3 linked regions of the Oryzias latipes genome follow. The protein of the gene in region 3 purifies or fractionates together with the protein of the main gene of each other region. This does not show direct contact. Links are inferred from orthologs where the notes say so. Each region holds a gene or a part of one and is shown on either strand. Other genes may lie near its edges.

Region 1 (4,311 bases), on a different chromosome or scaffold from region 3:
AAGGTGATGAAGATTTAACGATTCCTAATTTCAGTCACTTTTTTCTTAGATTCTTCAACCAAACAATTAGCACTGTAACACCAAATTAATGTATTTTGTTTAATATAGCAAAAAGAAAAAATTTAAAAGATACAGTATTGTGGAAAAAATTGACATTTTGTTCCAATTTCAAAGATTATGCGATTGTATCTTTAAATGATTTGAAGTGGTAAAACTATTTTGATTCGTGAAAAAAAGTGAAAAGGGCTTTCACTTTGTAATTTTCAAAAAGAAAAATACAAAGTTTCTTATCTTTTGTAGTAAAGTGGTTGTAAATGTTAATAAAATCATTTTTATTCCAATTCATTAAAAAGTGAAGATGGGTTGTAGAAGTGTTGTTGCATGTGTTAATATGTATTATTACAAACAAACAGACCAATATATTTTCCTTTAGGGCACAAGACTCAAAAAAAGAAAAGAAAATTGAAGAGGAATTTATTTACTTTCTTTCTCTGTCAGCAATGCAACATTGAACACATCACCCCCCTCTCGACTGGTACTTTTCCCCCCCAAATTTCTCAGGTTTCAGAGCTTAAGGTTCATTTTCCTTTTATACAAATATTTTTTTCTTATTAAACATTGTATTAATAACTGTTCATTCATTCATCTTCTAATCTGTTTTCCAGGGTCACAGGGCTGCTGGAGCCTGTCCCAGCCATTTGTGGGCAAAAGCGACACCCTGGACAGTTTGCCAGTCTGTGGCAGGGCCACAATCACACACCCATGCACCAATGCACTCTCACATTCACACCTAGGGGCAATTTAGACTAACCAATTAACCTATGAAGCATGTTTTTGGACAGTGGGAGGAAGCTGGAGAGAACATGCAAACTCCACAGAAAGACCCCCCCCCATTGATGTTCTGTTTCAGTATCCCCAGCTGAGACTTGAACCAGGGGCCTTCTTGCTGGGAGGCAAGAGCGCTAACCACTGCTCCACTGTGCAGCCCACTAATTAATAACTAATTATTATTAAAAAATATGAATATATTAATCATAATCTCAACTTTTTCTTAAAAAATAAAATTAAAAAATCACATTAAGGAGTGAATATAAATGCTTATTTTCACATTTCATTCATTAGTATGCATTAATGTCTTAATTGCTATTGTTTTATTTGTGATCATGTTTGAGCTTTTAATTGTAGGTCATCGTGTTCAATTGTGGTCATTGTAAGACAGCACCAAAATAAAAATCTGCCACATTTGATATAATATTTATGCACTTCCTAAAGGAGCAAATCAGGCAGACAGTGCCAGCTTGAGTGGTCTGTTTTATCTCAACTGCACAGTATAATGTGGTTTGTAGAAATACATTTATGATGTGGATAAAATAATCTGTTCTTTTTTTTGGGAGGGGGGGGGGCAATGATCTTATATGAGAGTTAAAGTCCGTTTTCCTTTAGTTTGCTTAGTTGTGGAAAGCACGAAGAAGCCTGTAAATTTGAAAGTAGGAACCAGGAAGCATTGACTTGACCCTGTAACCAGTCGGAACATCTACGGAGAGGACCAAACGGAAGTTTAGACGGTTGCTGTGGGTGAAGGGACAGCTTCGCTGTAGACGAAAATTTAAAATTCTCCCCTTCAATTTACCCAGTCTTCCCCTTTCCCTCGCCCATGTCGTCCAGCTCTAATATAGACATCGAGGGTGCGACCCAGCACCTCCGGGATATCCTCAAGCTCGACCGTTCGGGAAACGGCGCCGGTAAGTCGCACCGGGAACGAAAAGTCGCTGCGCTGCCAGTTAGGCCGCTAAGCTAGCAGGCTGCTAGCTTGCTACATTAGTAACACCCGTTTCGGCGTGAAAACGTCCCCTGATAGATTTTATACACATTTGTAGGAAAAAGGCAAACTATAGAAGACAGTTTAAACGTCGAAGAGTTTCCACTCACACTTGTCGTGTTTGAGTAGTTTGTTTGTGGCGCTGCGACTGCTTCGACCTCACCGACATAGCTCGGTTAGCTTAAGGCTCATTCCATCTATGGAAAAACTATAGAAAAGCAGATAAAGTGATACAGGAACTAACTTCAAGCTCTATATTAGTTCTTAAATCGAGTCACCATATTTGGAAGGTTTTCCCATTTTACATGATATACGAAGTCTAAAAATAAGCAGTAAACACTACAGGTAAGCAGCCAGGACTTCAAATATAATTATCGTGCGAAATATTTGTCACAGCATTTTTTATGTTACCCCAAAGTACACCAATCACCCAGAAAATTAACAGTCCCATATAATTGTATCACGCTTGTATGTCTGGTATGTTTTCGGGAAGCACACAACAAATGCTTTGTTTTTAAGGAGGAAAATTTTCAAGTGCGATTCTAGGGCTAAACGTGTATATGGATGGTTTTTAGAAATGTGTATTTTCGTGGCCTTGATGATTGCAGATCGAAGCATTAAGTTGTTAATGCTGAGAGAATTTTGAACATATTTCTATGTTTGTTATTTTTTTTTTTTTTTTTTTTTTTTACAGTTCTTGGTCATTTTTAAGTTTTTCAATTGTCTTGAAGTTTTTTTCTTAATATCAAATACCAAATATTTCTGACACGTGCCTGCTTGCACGGGGAATAATGTGTATTTTTTTGTTTAAACATATCAAATGATCTCAAAATAAATCAAACTTTTATTTTGGGATGATCTGGTTTGATTTGGACACGTAAATACTTTTTAAAAAATTGACTTGATTATCACTGGACTAAGAAAATGGATTTGCTGTGTTGTTTGTCTTTTGTGGTCCAGCTACAAGAAAATTGCAAGTGTAAAAGAATAAGCTTCATTTGGTCAAAATACGTTATTATAGTTAATTAAATCAAATGACTTATATCGACTCATTCTGGACTGAATTTCCTTTTAGAGTAAATTATTGGTTTTTGTTCGTTTAAGGTTTGCTTTAAATCAAACTGAATAGAAGAATCAAATGGGTTTGCATTTATTTTAAACTTACTTTTGGGTTATCTTTTTTTCATTTTTTTTGTACTGCTTTGTACACGTTTATTAATACAGTATAAATAAAATGATTTTCATGAGATGAAAATATTAGAAAATGGAAAGCGTCCACGTAACCCCTGAAATGATTCCTCCATGTAATGTAATTGATGGTCAGTTTAAAGTCAGTATCATACTGTTTGTTCTTTTCAGTTAACTAAAAATGTTTTGAAGTAACCCAATTACCATAGCAGTCTATCCTTTTCATAATAAACAGATGAACAATATTTGTGTCAAATTAAGTTATATTATTAAACTGAAATAAATAATTTAATCTTTAAGATTTAAAAGGCTTTACAGGTTAAAACACTCATCTGCTCAAAGTGATAAATGGGTATAAATATAATTAAACTGCTGGCTGTTATAAAAGCGGTGTAGTAAGAGTCCAAATGCAGTTCTATTTGCTGTCTCTCAAATGAAAAGCGCCTTCTGTTGAGGAAAGATGGCCTCCACAATACATTAAATACAGATTTTCTGTTTTAAACACTTTTAGTAGTTATTTTATCCGTTCAAAACAATTTTATCCTACACATTTAAACTAAAGATGCCACCAAATATGAAAACAAAAAAAATCAAGATCTTAAATAAATTCAGCAAGAGGGGAAAAAGTACTGCATGTTTTAACCTGCGTTATTTTAGTTTCATTATTTAAAAATAAATAAATATAAAGCCAGTTCATTTTTTTGGCAGCTGTCCTTTATATTTTTAGGAAAGTAAAAATCAACAGATTTCATCAGAAAAAATGTATTCAGAGCAAGAAATCTGTATCTAGTTTTTCAAGCTACTGTTGAGTTTGATGAGGGTTTTTTATGCTAGAAGAACCTTTTGAGCAAAAGGACACGGCAGAAACTGAGGAAACTGGCTGCGAGGAATAAATAAAAATAGGGACTCATTATGCTAAAACAGTATTGCATTTCAAAAAATCTATTCATCTAATTTGAAATAGTGTGATTTTGTTTGTTTTTCTTGTTAAAAAAGCTATTCTGATTTCTCTCCAATAATAATCTTTCTGACAATGTCTGCAATTCTCAAACTTTATTCCATAGTTATGATGGCTTGATCTTATTTTACACTTGTAAGATCAACAAACAACAGATTTGTAAGATAACAATCCTCTTTGTTTGTGTTAAATGCAGACACTTCACTGGCAGAGATGAGAACCGAGTTCTGCTTTCAGCTGTCATAAATACTGCATGAGTCGATGTCATTGATGTTCTGATTTGTTTATTTTTCATGAATTATGGGTCATAATAAACTGATAATCAACCTCCAGGTGCATCATGCCC
Region 2 (4,010 bases), on a different chromosome or scaffold from region 3:
TTTAAATAAGAGTCACATCATTTTCTGCAGTGCGAGACCTGGATGCTTGACCACATTCAGAGTTTGATGTTTGGTGCTGTACGGAGCATCTGAGAACAAGTTCACGTAAATAAAACTTGATCCAGAAATTACATTCAAGTTTAGAACAAACTAAAAAATTGCTCTAAAACACTTACTATTTCCCCAAGCAGGACTACATTTTCTCCCCTGACGATGAAGATACCTCTGGGAATATCTCCAAATTTCTTTCCCACGTGGATACGCTCCACCGTCTGATGAAAGACTAAATTGGCTGTGGAACAAAAAAAAAAAAAAAAGAAAGAAACAAACAAATTTAGGACTATTGAAACACCGCGTAATCATATAAAAATAAAAAAATAAACCCGCATGGAAGAGTTTAGAAGATTCTCATTTTTTATTACCAAACTGATCGATGCTTCTCAGGTAACCGATTAGTGTTCTGCCATCTCGCAGCAGGACCAAGTGCTTTTCTGCGAAATTAAAAACATTTAAAAAAAATCTGCGTCCACACGGCACACGCTAATACATTGTGTCGTTTGTTTATGATTAAAAAAAGCAATTTCTATAAGGCCCAACTTACTGTCAATATCGTCAATGAGACTGGCCGTCCCTGGTACGTAATTCATGTTTAGTTGCAGTTTTCACGCGTTTAGTTGATTTCTGAACCATCAAGCCATGAATGTTTTTACCCGTTTCTATTTGACGGTGCACAGGAAGTGCTTTTATACACTTCCTGTAAACATTTAACCCCTTCCGCACCGTAATTGCGCATAGCTCGAATTTTCTAAAAATAACTGTGTAAAAATGATTTAAACAAAAGTATCATACATTTTATGATACAAAAAGAATTTTCTATAAAACATGTTTGGATTAAATGTCCCCATTTGATGATGGATGGTAACCCTTCCAACGCATGTGCCACATCAAAGATCGTAAATGAAAATTTTGAAAAGTTGCGTCACATGTTTAAAAAATACAACTGCTACAGGAGTAATTCAATAGTTGGTCTTAGCAGTAAAATATATTGAAAATAAATATCTTTAATTAAAAATATTCTAATTGTGTTCCCCGTTTCTGCGTTTTGCAATTGTAAGGTTTCATCCAGCAATTTCGATCAGAAAGTTTTAGAGAGTGACTCCTCTTTACTTGTAATGGTTCTACTCGACTTAAAGACGCAGTACCATGTCTCCAGAGTTCCGCGTCATTTATTCATTTCTTGGTTGCAATCAGGCGATCCTGACTTCTGCGGGGAAGCTGCTGCTTTGATCAGCTGTCAGATTTCTAGCGGAACCGTAAACTAGTGATAGTCTTGCTTATTTTGGAAGATGGCAAAATACGTGTAACTGATGCAGAAACCCCAAATGCAGCCAAACGGGAAAACTGGCTGGCCCTCTACTAACTCGGGAAATAGTCACGGAAGCTGCAGTAACACTATGGTAAGCGAGCAGATTAATTAAAAAAAACTTTACTGGGGGGAGGGGGTGACAGATCATATTGTGCTTTAAAGAAACAAAGATTAATTTAAAATCTCCCAACAATAAAATCCGTTTGTTCGTTCGTGCAGAAGTTCTTCGCAATGTTCATCATGCTAGCTTCATAGCTAATATAGCTAGCGGGCATTATGTAATAGTTACTGCTAGCTTATTAGTTAAGTCCTTGTTTTTAAATTACATTGACTCGAAAATATCGATTTAACACAACACTTCTGCACGTTAGGAGATCGTAGCGATCATATAGAGTTTCATGAGTTAATCATTGGTTTAGCTCAAATTATTTCATTCATTTAAACACAAGTTAACATCCATTTATTTAGTTTTCTAGAAAGACACGAGTATATGTTTATCAATGCGTTTATCATTTAAGTTTCTCAGCATCAAGTTCTCCATATCTCTATTTGAGATTTAGGATAGCTACACAAAATGGGTTGGATCACATAAAGTGAGTCGCTGTCTCGTGTCAACTTGCCTTTTACAGGATGCTCCTCAGTATCCAAGTTACCCTCCACAATACTGGTATCCGCAGTCCCACTCCACAGGGCCCTACGCAAATGCCTATCCTTCAGCGTCAGATCTGCATCCGCAGTACAATCCACAGGTACATCTCACTATACGAGCCATTCCTTTCCTTCAACATTTTAATATATTGCTCACTGTTTTGATTCTCATCAATTTCCTCATCTTTCTTTTGCACAAACACTCATAGTTGTGGTATCAAAAGTGCTGTTTTCACAGAGTGGTCAATTTCCTCTCAGGCTTGTCCCTGTTTTTCTTTTTTTACTTATTTTTTATTTTTAGGTAATGCCAGGAGGATATCCGAACGGCCATGGAGCGTACAACCATGCACAGAGTCCGTACCCGGCAAGTAGCTTCCACCCATCCAACCCCTTCTACTGTGCTGATCCAAGGAGAGCAAGTCCAAGTTCCTATCCGCACCAAGGCTGTCCGGCAGATCAAAGCAGCGAGCCGCCTCACGCTCAGCATCATCATTACACTGGTCCACACTGTCAAGGGGTGAGTTTATTTACGCATTAATGAGACACTCACATTACTTACAAAATACTTAAATAGAAGCAAAAGGTTCTTGGTTTAATATTTCAGTCTTTTTACTTATTATTATTTATATGAGTTTGCTAAAACAATCTTATGGAAGCTTGACGTATTTAAGGAATCAAACAAATCATTTTATGCATTTGACCAATCGGATGGACGCCTTCACATTGTTGACCAATCGGATGGTGCCCTTTTATGCTAGACGAGGGTTTACTTTAAAAAAAAAAATTTAAACCGTTGCAGTGAAATGGAAATGATGTTTTTGGTTGTTTTGGTGTGTTCACGTATCACCGCAAGTTATATCGTCATCGCAATATTGATCATCAATATCGCATATCACAAGTTTTCCTTATATCGAGCAGCCCAAATGTGTTTAGAAAGCACCAAAATGAGACATCCATTTCTTGTAATGTTACATTTTTGAGAATAAACATGTTTGTCTTGTTTGTGCTCTCAGGGTCCTGGATATCCTCCTGGATCATACCCACACTACAGTGAAGGTGGACATGCAATTCACTCGAATTCTCCTTACCCAACCGGCCAGGCTCTTCATCCTAATTCCCAGGCTGAAGCATGGGGACACCCCAGCCAGTATGCCCACTCACAGCAACAGTGGCAGGGAGGTCAGCAACCTCCCCAAAATCATTACGGGAATCCCGTCCGTCCACCTCATCCTCCAGCGTGGCCAGGAACCGGGACTGGTGCCCCACCACCCTATCAGCCCAAAGTAAGGCTCTGCAGCTGACGTGCATTGTGTAACAATTATTCAAGAGTCCGTAAGGAGATAAAAGCAAATATGTCTATCTTGTGTTGTTTCAGGATCAGCATCACCAACGCCCTCTGCAGGTGGGGCCTAAACCCAGGCCAACACCACCCCCTAATGGAAAGCCTGCTGAAATAACTTCTCCTCCACAAATCTACAACAAAACAGGGAGAGGTGATACTAACACCTCACAGGCTGAGCCCCCCCCATCAGCCCCAACCCAAGCTCCTGCACCGCCCGCAGGTCAGACCAGACAGCTGCCCTTGAGTGATAATCCAGGCCTTGCCAAGGTTCAGCATGTGATGACCAGAGTTCAGCTACTTCAGGAAGATGTTGACGAGTTTGTAGGCAAAAAGACAGACAAGAGCTACCGCTGTCTTGAGGAACTTCTGACCAAAGAGCTGTTAGAGCTGGACTCCGTGGAGACTCAGGGACAGGACAATGTTCGACAAGCACGGAAAGAAGCCGTGCAGAGAATTCAGGCCATACTTGACCAACTAGAGAAGAAAGCCTTCTGAAGCGGGCTCAATTAACTTGCTTGTGGACCACCAAGTTTTCTTATGTTCTCTAAGATCTTCCTTGACAAAAGTCCTGCTCTGCAGAACTATAACAATGTTCTTTTTTCTACCTTAAAAACATTATATGAAGAAATTACAGACCGAAGGAAGAGTTAGATG
Region 3 (4,064 bases):
ACCCAGGTGCAGAAAGGGGGAGGCAGGAGGTTCCAGGAACAAGGTCTTTAATAACTAAAAAAAACAATACTACTGCAGCAAGCAGGCAAACTCGAAAACACCTGAAAACACTTGAATAGGGAAGAGCATAATATGGACCAGCCCAGGAGGAAGGGAAAGACAGGACTTAAATACATACAGACAAACGAGACACAGGTGACAACAATGAGGGCGGATGGGAACCAAAAGTAGAACTCGAGTACAACACAAAACAGGAAACCCCACAAAACAAAACAGGAAGTGAACTCAAAACATGACAGAACAAAAAAGAGGACCAAAACTCAAAAGCAAAGAAACTAAAACTGTAACATGATGTTAAGGTCAAAATGAGCACTCCATGCAAGGTTTACTCTACTTATTTACTGTAAATGTTTAACTGTTACATACACTTCACATCTATAGATAACTGGGTATTATTATTATGTGCATTAAAAAAAAAAAAAAAACTATAAATGAAAAAAATACCTGATACATTTTCATTGCTTAAATGCTATCTGTATTTAAAATACCTGCAAGAGTTTATTAGTTTAAAGCAATATTTTAATGCAATTGAAAGCTTGTGTGATCTGTTATGCAAATAACAATTCAACACAATATATCATTTGTAAATGTGTTTACTTCAGAATAGCATTTGGACACCATAACCATACAAGGCCAGAAAAGTCATCAAGAAAATGTGGAATCTTTTATCGCCCTCTTTTGGATGTATTAGGAATTGCAGAAGTTGACACAATTATTTTGAATCACCGACAATTTTAATATGTTTATGAGAATCGCCATCAATCAGCATTACAGTCTCACCGGTGGTGATAAACAGATGGAAATCAAGTATTCACCACTTTAAAGGGGAAGCTTCTTTCTAAGAGCAAAAAAAGGTAAAAAATAAATAAAATAAAATAAAATAAAGAAAAGATGCTTACCTACCAGGCTAGTTAGAAACTCACCAATTTGTATTCCTTTCTCTGGGTGGATTTTATGCGACGGTTTTTTCCCCCCCACAGTGCATAAACATAAAACAATGTTATTTTTGTCAGGAGGGACAGTTTTTGCCTATCGTATGTTAGTCTGTTTTGAAAACGCTGAAACAGTCTTTTAAAATGGTGACATTTTTTTAAAAGGTATTACAAGACAAAATTTTATTTTAAAAGTCCCCATTTTAACCGAGCGGCAAAAACTTCTCCCGTTTATATAATTTCATCGATCGACTTTTCGAACTCGATTGTTAAGGCTGAATCTTTAACGCTGTGCTGCTACTCATGCCTACGTTGTTTACAACCTCCAAACATGGCCGTTGTTTAACTTAACTTACTTATGACGGAGAGCAATCAGTAGCCAAGGAAACGCTTACATTGAAATGTATTAACATTATAAACGAATCGCTCTGCATATTTCTACTCGTGCACGGATTTTTTTTCCCCCGCTTCTCGTTGGTTCAGTTTAATCGATTTTAGCCAGGCTATTTCTTTAGCTAGTTGTTTAGCTTGCTAACTTGTCCAGAACCATGACAGCGACCTCTGAAGGTAGCAGTGGCTGTAATGCTGCGAAAGGACTGGACATAAGTCTCGCTGCTCTGCAGCGACAAGACCCATATATAAATAATATTGTCGATGTGGCCAGCCAAGTCGCTCTGTATACATATAACAACAGAACAAATGAGTGGGTACGTTTTTTCCTGACAAATGCTATTCTGTGCTAACTTAGCTTAGCTTCAAATTACAGCGTTTTCGTTCTAGTATTACTGAGTTAAGTTAAAAGTGATTGCTTTGAAGTTGATTTTTGAAAACAAAAACAAAATTGAAGTTATAGATCATTTTTTAACTACTAGTATAGAGTTTTACCACATCACGAGACTACACACTAATTTACTCAAGCACACTGGTACAATTTCCATCCTCATACTTTGTACTGCTTTATTTAGCTTTGTTTACAAAGTAGCAACCTAGGATGTTTAATAAAAAACAGAATTAAAATACACATTTGTCCCCCACTTTTTTTGACGTGATTGTTGTTACTTTTCAGGAGAAGACGGAAGTTGAAGGCACTCTTTTTATTTACACAAGGTAAAGAAAAGACCTAAAGTCTGTGATTAGGGTTTATTTGAGGTCATCCATTGCATTCAATTATTTTATTTTTATTTTAATATCAATTAGGGAGATAATGTACCACTGTGTGTAATACCTTGTTTTTTCCTGAGTTTTGATAGTTATTATTTTTGTCATTTTGCATGCTGTTTTAATTCAGATTGGCATCTCCAAGACACGGATTTACCATTATGAACCGTCTCAGCATGGACAATCTGACAGAGCCGATCACAAAAGACTTGGACTTTCAGCTTCAGGACCCTTTCCTGCTTTATCGCAACGCACGATGTAAGTCAGAATATATAAAAATAGCCCACAGATTTCCAGTTTCTGTCCTATTCTTTCAGCGTTTGCTGTGCATGACAGTCTTAAATACAATGCAAGCTGCTGCATTACATATTTTAGTTATTGCTGTGACCCTCTTCCTCTGGAGTTTATTGCATAAACAGATGCATATTATTAAAATCCTAATATATGAATAATAATAGCAATTAATTAATGGTTGTTTACATGTGTTTCAGTATATTTATTTTCTTAGCATAGGTCAGTTCGGGCCCACATAACCAAAGATCATAGTTAGATTTTTATGGGTTTTTTTTATGGACCTAAAATGTTTTACTAAGCCATAATTACTATGTTTATTTCTTTTGAATAGCACACAAAAGTGCAGGGTATTAGAAATGCTAAAAGAATGACATATCTTCAAAAAAAATGTTGTTGCGTCAAACGCAGCCGTATTTTTATGACTAAAACATTATTTTGACATCAAATAAGATAGGAAGGACCACGTTAGTGACTGGTGGATGAATCGGTGACTCCATTTAAGGTGTTTCAGCAGAGTTATTTCAGTTTGTTTTATCACCAACTCTCTGAGACCTGCATCGGGCGCTCTCACACACAATCACATTCTAAAGTGTGCCTGTGGGACAAGAGTCTGACAGCACCACAAAAGCAGCCAGCTGAGATTAGATACACTTCCACAGTCACTGATAATCTAAACACACGCTAGCTTAGAAGTAGCTGACGAGCACAGAGAAGGCTCCTGTCGTCTTGGCCTCCCCGTCATATACAATGACATGCAGCCGGATCTTTGTACTGAAAGAAATTGTTTGGTTTATTCATTTTTGTTATTTTACATTTACTTGGAACATGGTGAAACAGAAAGCACAATATTTAGACTTTCTATTCAGAAGCTAACAAACACAAAATAGCCGGTTTGCGGTAGGAGCATCTGCAACAAGGAACAGATTTGAACCGACTCGCTTGTGGGAAGCACGAAGCGTAAAAACACTTGAAACCAGTAATCAGGTTACAGCTGATTAGTGTGTCTGCTGTTACAATGAACAGATTAGATTGGTTTATGTAAGTAAATGAATGGTGGGTTCAAAGCAAACGTTATGGTCAAGCATAATGTTAGTTTGCTCTGATTGCTCTGGTTTAAGATGAATAATAAAAGAGCTCAAAAGTAGACATGAGTAATGGTTGTTATCAGACTGATTTTTATCAGTGTGTCTCCTAGGATTTAGAGGAACTGTTTGGCTTCAAAGAGACTCTTTGCGTTTGTAGATGTGACACTGTAGAACCAAATTTACAGAGCGGCCATAAGCTAATGTACATAAGAGGATAAAAAGAAAGATCAAGTGAGACCCATCAAAAGTAATACCCCCTACCCTATAATAGCTGCTCAAACTAATGTTTACCAAATTTCTACATAGATGACATAACGAAAGAACACTTTTAGTAGACAGAAAACGTGGTTTTATTGGAGAAAATGTGATTTATAGCTTGCTGGCATTAGTGTGCCAGTGCATTGTGACCTCTTGGTGGAGGGGTCGTGGAATCTTATCATTAGATAAACATGTCGGCCTAAGTGCTGCCGCAACTTCCTGGAACGGTGGTTGGCACAAAGTGGCAGCCCGGGCTAAAAATGAACTGCGTGGATAG

What was found.
Region 1: the proteins of dcp1b (region 3) and edc4 purify together in Homo sapiens (affinity purification with mass spectrometry; 3 studies listed by BioGRID and IntAct, with this or other methods). This does not show direct contact. The link is inferred for Oryzias latipes from reciprocal best matches to the Homo sapiens genes DCP1B and EDC4.
Region 2: the proteins of dcp1b (region 3) and bag4 purify together in Homo sapiens (affinity purification with mass spectrometry; 3 studies listed by BioGRID and IntAct, counting the BioPlex papers as one, with this or other methods). This does not show direct contact. The link is inferred for Oryzias latipes from reciprocal best matches to the Homo sapiens genes DCP1B and BAG4.

Annotation. Positions count from the first base shown.
Region 1 is NC_019864.2:24,347,160-24,351,470, forward strand, and holds the start of edc4 (enhancer of mRNA-decapping protein 4), read left to right. Parts: upstream 1-1,511; 5' UTR 1,512-1,654; coding exon 1,655-1,742; intron 1,743-4,311. UniProt on the Homo sapiens protein: In the process of mRNA degradation, seems to play a role in mRNA decapping. Component of a complex containing DCP2 and DCP1A which functions in decapping of ARE-containing mRNAs. Promotes complex formation between DCP1A and DCP2.
Region 2 is NC_019867.2:18,633,712-18,637,721, reverse strand, and holds the start of bag4 (BAG family molecular chaperone regulator 4), read left to right. Parts: upstream 1-1,195; 5' UTR 1,196-1,367; coding exon 1,368-1,457; intron 1,458-1,995; coding exon 1,996-2,115; intron 2,116-2,315; coding exon 2,316-2,531; intron 2,532-3,027; coding exon 3,028-3,297; intron 3,298-3,389; coding exon 3,390-3,851; 3' UTR 3,852-4,010. Other genes in the region: U6 snRNA-associated Sm-like protein LSm1, read right to left, coding at 177-292, 423-491, 602-647. UniProt on the Homo sapiens protein: Inhibits the chaperone activity of HSP70/HSC70 by promoting substrate release. Prevents constitutive TNFRSF1A signaling. Negative regulator of PRKN translocation to damaged mitochondria.
Region 3 is NC_019881.2:14,488,782-14,492,845, reverse strand, and holds the start of dcp1b (mRNA-decapping enzyme 1B), read left to right. Parts: upstream 1-1,261; 5' UTR 1,262-1,540; coding exon 1,541-1,699; intron 1,700-2,058; coding exon 2,059-2,099; intron 2,100-2,280; coding exon 2,281-2,408; intron 2,409-4,064. UniProt on the Homo sapiens protein: May play a role in the degradation of mRNAs, both in normal mRNA turnover and in nonsense-mediated mRNA decay. May remove the 7-methyl guanine cap structure from mRNA molecules, yielding a 5'-phosphorylated mRNA fragment and 7m-GDP.